2 linked regions of the Sus scrofa genome follow. The protein of the gene in region 1 interacts with the protein of each later gene in a biochemical or structural test. Links are inferred from orthologs where the notes say so. Each region holds a gene or a part of one and is shown in the gene's direction. Other genes may lie near its edges.

Region 1 (2,829 bases):
TTGTGACCAGTGTGGGGCAGAGACCTACCAGCCGGTATGTATAGAGCAAAGAATGGGAATGTGTTTACTTTTGTCAGCGGTTTTTGTATGAATTAATTTGTTTTGTGATGATTATATGTTGTCATTACTGGTCTGTTAATTGTAAAACACACCTGTGTGTTTTCATTCTTTTTCCAGCATGGGATGGCCTTTCCATCCATTCTGTGTTCTTGGTGTACTCAGCAATCCCATGTTTTCTATCACAGAGAAGAAACGTCATTTAGGTGACTAACTCTAAGGAGCCCTTTTTTTTCTCATTTCCTCTGGTGCTTTGTTTTTTGTATCCTAGATCCAGTCTCCCACTTTCATGCCTCTGATCATGTGCCCAAGCCAGGAGTGCCAGACCAACCGCTCAGGAGGGCGACTGTATCTTCAGACACGTGGCTCCAAATTCATCAAATTCCAGGAGATGAAGATGCAAGAACATGTGAGTTTGGGGGATGTGGTCTGGGGCTCAGGGAAGGGGGAGCTTGGGAGTCCGTTTGATTCTTGTAGTCGTTCAGAAGCATAAGAAAGAAAGTAGAACAAAAGGGGAGAGTCGAGGCAGAGAAGTCAGTGAGAGCAGGACGGGGTTTAACTGGAACTTTCTGAGTTGGGAAGAGTTTTAAAAAAAAGCCTAGTTTTCCTCTTGTCAGCTTGCTTGAGGCTAAGCAGACCAAGAAGTGGCCATAGTGTGTATAAGGAGAGAAAGGCAGGCCTCATGGACCCTTCTTCCCCAGAGTGACCAAGTGCCCGTGGGAAACATCCCTCGCAGCATCACAGTGCTGGTGGAAGGAGAGAACACGAGGATCGCCCAGCCTGGGGATCATGTCAGTGTCACCGGTATCTTCTTGCCGATCCTGCGCACCGGGTTCCGACAGGTGGTCCAGGTGAGAAAGTTGAAAATGAGGTGGTGGTTCCTTTTTTCTCATCTCCTCACTCTTTAACAGCCCCACAGAGAAGAGTGACAGCAAGCAACAGAATACCAAACAAAGCAGAACAGAGGGTTCTGTCAGGAACTCCTCAGGGACTCACATGGAAGGGCAAGTTAAAGGCGCTTCATTCATACCCTGGTGTTTTCCTGCTCAAGGGTTTACTCTCAGAAACTTACCTGGAAGCCCATCGGATTGTGAAGATGAGTAAGAGTGAGGATGATGAGTCTGGGGCTGGAGAGTTGAGCAGGGAAGAACTGAGACAAATCGCAGGTGAGGGGTCAGGGGAAAGACTGGGATCCAAATTTCTCCCTAGCAGTTTTTTTCTCCCAGAAAATACTTAGTCTTCTTTTTCCCACAGAGGAGGATTTCTATGAAAAGCTGGCAGCCTCCATTGCCCCGGAAATATACGGCCATGAAGACGTGAAGAAGGCACTGCTGCTCCTGCTGGTGGGAGGGGTGGACCAGTCTCCTCGAGGCATGAAGATCAGGGGTGAGTGGAGGCATTTGGGAGGAAGAAGGGTAAGGACCTTCCAGCGTCCACAGGCCATAGAATAAGCCTGCCTCGGCTTCACGGGCACGGGGGGCATGGGGGGCAGACCTTGAAAGTGTTGTTTTCGGACAACTTGGATTGAAAGAAAAGTCACTCGGGGGCCTCCTTCCTCCAGGCAACATCAACATCTGTCTGATGGGGGATCCTGGAGTGGCCAAGTCTCAGCTCCTGTCTTACATTGATCGCCTGGCCCCCCGCAGTGAGTTCTCAGACCCTGGGAGGCAAGCCCGAGGACAGGAGTAGGACCACCTCGTTCCGTGTTTGTGCTCTTCTGGGAGGGGTTGGGGGGTGGAGATGTGATCAGCGCCACCACGTCGCGGATCTGCAGCTGCCTCGGGCAGGCCTGGCTGGGTCAGCGGAGCGGTCGGGCAGGCCTCGCCTCACTGGCCCCCTTCCTTCTTTCCTTTGCCCTCTTCTTAAACACAGCTGCTAACTTCCTCTCTTCCTGCCCCTTTTGTTCAGGCCAGTACACAACAGGCCGAGGTTCCTCGGGAGTGGGGCTCACGGCCGCCGTGCTGAGAGACTCCGTGAGTGGAGAGCTGACCTTGGAGGGTGGCGCCCTCGTGCTGGCCGACCAGGGCGTCTGCTGCATTGATGAGTTTGACAAGATGGCGGAAGCTGACCGCACAGCCATCCACGAGGTCATGGAGCAGCAAACCATCTCCATTGCCAAGGCAGGCATTCTCACAACACTTAATGCCCGCTGCTCTATCCTGGCTGCTGCCAACCCTGCCTACGGACGCTACAACCCTCGCCGGAGCCTGGAGCAGAACATACAGCTTCCTGCGGCTCTGCTCTCCCGATTTGACCTCCTCTGGCTAATCCAGGACCGGCCTGACCGAGACAATGACTTGAGGTGAATATTCGCAGCACAACAGCCAAGGAGCCACCCCTCAGTTACACCCTCTGGGGGCGGGGGAATATTCGCAGCACAACAGCCAAGGAGCCACCCCTCAGTTACACCCTCTGGGGGCGGGGGATTGGAAACCTCCTCGTCAGCCCATGGAAACTGGAGCATTTCCCTCTTGCAGAAGGGGCTGGTCCAGTTCTCAGGGTGGGTCAGGGTTGAAATGCAGATGATCATTTTCTGAGAAAGTTTGTCTCTGCTGGGCTGTGACACACAGAGCTGAGAGAGTAAGATGTAGGCTTGGGGTACAGTGCGGATCACCGAAAAAAGTGTTCATACTTGCCTCCCCTCTTCCAGGTTGGCCCAGCACATCACCTACGTGCACCAGCACAGCCGGCAGCCCCCTGCCCAGTTTGAACCTTTGGATATGAAGCTTATGAGGTAGGAGAGCTGGGTGAGGACTGGTGTCGTTCCCCACT
Region 2 (4,253 bases), on another chromosome or scaffold:
TTCTCCTCTTGATCACTATGGCATCACCTTCTTACCTCACAGGTCACTCCTTCCCAGTCTCTCGCTGGCTCTTCTTCTTCCTCTGCCCAACTCTGAAAGAGTGGGGATACCCATAGCCCCGTTCTCTATCTATAATCTTTGATTTGATAATAGCATCTAGTCCCAAAGTTTTAAGTTTCATGCATAAACTCATAACTGCCAAATTTATGTCTCTAGCCTAGACTCTATTCCAGACCTGTTCACTTGACATTATCACTTAGCTATCTAGTAGACACCTTGGACTTGAGTACTGTCAATGCCCTCCAGCTAAAGAGCAGGAGGAACCGCAATTGAACAAGTTAGGTTTCAGTGAGAATGCACACCAGGGACAACCATATAGCATCTCAGTAAGAGGGTGTTAGAAATCTGGGTTTGTGTTACATGATTTAGGGATGGGTTCAAGGAAGAGGGACTTATTGGGAGCTGTAGGAAGGCAGGAGTAAATCTATAATTGTGTATTTTAATAAGTACTATCTAGAATGGCTGAGTGTTTACAGAGGCTAAAATTTTAATTAGTAAAGAAGCAGCAGTCGCTCCCATTAGCCAGGAGAAGAAAATGTTTGCTCATTTTTGTGGCTTGACAAAATGTTTACATTTGGTCTATATCTAGACAAGATTACAGAATGACCTTATTTCTGTCTTGATCCATCATATCGAGGTCACAGAGTGGCCCTGCCTGATGCTGGTGTTCTGTGAAACTCCCTCCCCCCAACTTACTAAGCTGATATCCTACCCTTGCACTTGATCTACCCTTGGCCAACTAGTCTCTTTCCCATTTGGCTCCCAACACGATGCCTCCTTCTGTCACGATCGCGTCCTTCCACTTTATTCCCTTCGGAGCGTTTATCAACATCTAGAAGAATGTTGTTCATTTATTTATTTATTGTCACTGTCTCACTGGAACTTGGCTTCATAAAGGGACGGCGGGGTTTTCTAGGGCGTCTTCTCCGCTGTAACCCCAGCCTCTCGAAGCCAGCCTCAGAGCCAAGGGCTCAAATATATGCTGACTGACCAAGTGGCAGTGAGAATGTCACTGGGCTTGTTTCTTTGAATACAGCCACAAACAACTAGCAATTGCCTTTGTTTGTTGGTTTGTTTGTTTTGAACGGACAGGTGGGGGCATTCCACCAAAAGAAGTGAAAGCTGGGAGTCGAGAAAGTGAACGTCTTTTATCCGGAGGGTCCAAAGTCTCTCTAGGTGAGAATGAGACTCTGCTGTCTCTGACTTACTCTCTTTCCTCCGAGTGCTGTTAGATCCTTAACCTTAGGGGTCACCGTTTTCCAGCGAAGGATCACTCCCCGGCTCTCCATCAGCAACCGTTCCTGGACCAGCCTCCGCCTTGGGGCAGGAACCCACCCCCTGCGCAGGCGCTCGGCGCAGAAACCGCGGCGCGCCGGCTTCACACTGCGCATGTGCGACTCGAGGCGGCGAGGCGGGAAGCGCTGCGCAGGCGCGGTTGGCCGGCTGGCTAGGTGGGCGCTCTTGGAAGCGGCAACCTAGGCTTCTGGGGAGCCACGGAAGTCGTATTCCTTTAAACCGTGAGTTTCCGACGGTTTGTCCCATGGCGCGGGCTCGTGAGGGATTAGAAACGAGTTCTGGATCGTGACTTCCATTTTGTCGCAGCGCAGTGCCCCCCCCCCGACTTTTCGGACCCCTTTGACCTGCGGCGGGAAAGTCGTGCGCCTGCGCACTCAGCGTCCCGTGCGGTCTCGGGTTTGCGGGCACCGGGTCTCCCCCCGCGCAGCGCGCGACCCGCGCTGCCGGAAGGATCCCATTCATGCCCGCTTCCCCGCCGGGCGCTCGCGAGCAAGGTCGTGTCAGTTCTCCACCAACTTGCGTGGGGCCTTGGACGGACCCCCGGCGCCCCCTCTCAGTGGTCGGGCGCTCTCCTCTGCCAGCCTCTCCCTCGGCTCGAACCGCTGTCCCCACTAAGGCTTCCCCGACCCGGGTCGCAGCCTCTGCAGCCCCCGGCGCCCCCGTCCCACCGTCGCCGGGCGGTTTTCCCTTCGGCCCCCTGCTGGTTTTTTCTGCGATGTGAAAGTAAAGCCAATGGAATCCTTAGAAATGGCTCAAGTTTCCCCTTCCTTGGGGAATTTTGACCTACGGTGCGTTTTTAAATGTTTGCCCCTTGGGGGACAGTAGCACTTTTTAGTGTTTAGTTCACTGAGTGATATAAACTTCTCACCTGCTCCAGAATTCTGATTTTCACAGCTGCTTTGCTCCCCCTGTGGACATGACCCCTTAGCTGGCATTTTGCACCCCACTTGCTTTGTGATGGAGGCGTCTCTGGGGGTTCAGATGGATGAACCAATGGCTTTTTCTCCTCTGCATGGCCGCTTTCAGGCGGATGGCTCATTAAAAAAACATGAGCAGAATTTTAAACTACCAGGTATGTGTTTATTTCCAAAGATGTACAGGCAACAATTCTGTAATTTCTATTATTAAAAAACAAACACAAGGCCCAGAACACTTCCTGAAATTTCAAGTGACTTGTGTATTTAAATAGGAGCAGTTTATGAATCAGTAAAACTTTCTAAGGTCTAGTTTGGGAATTGGATTGCATTTTGGGAGGATTGTCGTCTAACCATACCATTTTACAGATGAAGTTGCTAGTCTAAATATTCCTGGTTGTCAAAGAACACAAAGTTTGTTGATACTCGACGGGAATTTCTCTTCTAGAATTTCTACCACTATATTGCATTAAGCTTGGATTTAGCAATTGACGTTGGTGGGATTTTGGTTTAAGTATGCAGCAGCAGTATTCACTGACAAAAGTAAATGAAATGTTTGCAGTGATAATTAGGGACTGTATCTCAGTGTACATCATGAAGTTTTATTTGCCACTTAGCCTGACCTTGAAATGAGAGAGAGGGTCAAACAGTGCCTGAGTTTGCATTCTGTAATGTGCGTCTTTATTCCTGCTCTAGCACAGTGCCTGGGACAAGGCAGGCATTTAATAAATATTGGTTAAATAGGGGTTCCAGTTGGTTGTTGGTTGTATTTCTTTTTTCCTAAATGTAGCTGAGTCTTTTTTTCCATCTTTGTCTTAAGCGTTATTTAGTACTTGTTCAAAAATATTATTTTTGGGAGTTCCCGACCTGGCTCAGCAGTAACGAACCAGCTAGTATCCATGAGGACGAGGGTTTAATCCCTGGCCTCGCTCAGTGGGTTAAGGATCTGGCGTTGCTGTGGCTGTGGTGTAGGCCGGCAGCTGCAGTTCTGATTCAACCCGGAGCCTGGGAACTTCCATATGCTGTGGTGCAGCCCTAAAAACAGAAGGGGAAAAAAACCCACTGCAGTGAACAAAGTATCTGGCATAGTATTAAATCAAATGTTTATTCTTTCCTTTTCTCAGCAAACTTTTTTTTTTTTTGAAGTATCTGCCGTATGCCAAGTTTAATAAGTGATAAAACCTTTTGAGTTGAAAGAATGAGGTATAAACTCTGTGTGCACTGAGTGTCTCCTCCATACTGTTGAGTAGAAGGCTTGCTTGCGGGGTGCTATCTGGATGCCCTTGGCCCACACTTCTAAGACGGGTTACAGGTAGTGTTCTGGTTTGCCCGAGACGGGTCTAGTTTATGCCTGTTGTCACAGTGTAATTCTTAGCGCCCCCTTTCATTCTCAGAGTGTCCCAATTTGGGCTAAATGGTATGATCTCCCTTGTTACAGGAGACCTGATTTTAGGCCGTACATGAAGCCCCAGAATAAGCATGACATATATTTCTAGAGTGTCAGTTTACTGCTTGGTAAGAAATTGAAACCATTTCATTCGTATGGTGAATATTTCTTAAATGTCTGTTAGTGCAGGCAGCTTCCTGGGTGCTGGTAACACATCAGTTCACGATGCACAAAAATCAATGCCCTCAAGTCGTAGTAGAGATAGAAAATAAAAATTAAATAGTGTGTTCAAACATAATTAGTGCTGTGAAGACAATGCAAAGGGAAGGAGTGCCAAGACATTTTGGGGAAGAAAATTGTGATTTTAGTCCGAGGAGGTTTGGGGTGGTAACATTTGGGCTCCGACTTGACGGGGTTAACTGCCCGTGCATGTGTCTGGGGCCGAGCGTCCCAGGCAGAGGAATCAGCGAGTTTGAAGACCTTAAGCTGGAGTGTGCCCAGCACTCAGAGAGGGCCAGCTGCTCACGGAGCTGCAGGACGGCAGGAGAGGGGGGTGAAGTCAGAGAGGGGCGAGAAAGGAGGTGGTTCTATGGCTT

What was found.
Region 2: of the proteins of MCM7 (region 1) and CDC7, one has a biochemical effect on the other in vitro, tested with the Homo sapiens proteins (2 studies listed by BioGRID). The link is inferred for Sus scrofa from reciprocal best matches to the Homo sapiens genes MCM7 and CDC7.

Annotation. Positions count from the first base shown.
Region 1 is NC_010445.4:8,008,219-8,011,047, reverse strand, and holds part of MCM7 (DNA replication licensing factor MCM7), read left to right. Parts: coding exon 1-34; intron 35-328; coding exon 329-466; intron 467-758; coding exon 759-908; intron 909-1,108; coding exon 1,109-1,223; intron 1,224-1,311; coding exon 1,312-1,443; intron 1,444-1,618; coding exon 1,619-1,702; intron 1,703-1,965; coding exon 1,966-2,359; intron 2,360-2,707; coding exon 2,708-2,791; intron 2,792-2,829. UniProt on the Homo sapiens protein: Acts as a component of the MCM2-7 complex (MCM complex) which is the replicative helicase essential for 'once per cell cycle' DNA replication initiation and elongation in eukaryotic cells.
Region 2 is NC_010446.5:125,456,560-125,460,812, reverse strand, and holds the start of CDC7 (cell division cycle 7-related protein kinase), read left to right. Parts: upstream 1-1,453; 5' UTR 1,454-1,577; exon of another isoform or gene 1,578-2,144; intron 2,145-2,233; 5' UTR 2,234-2,313; coding exon 2,314-2,428; intron 2,429-3,255; exon of another isoform or gene 3,256-4,253. UniProt on the Homo sapiens protein: Kinase involved in initiation of DNA replication. Phosphorylates critical substrates that regulate the G1/S phase transition and initiation of DNA replication, such as MCM proteins and CLASPIN.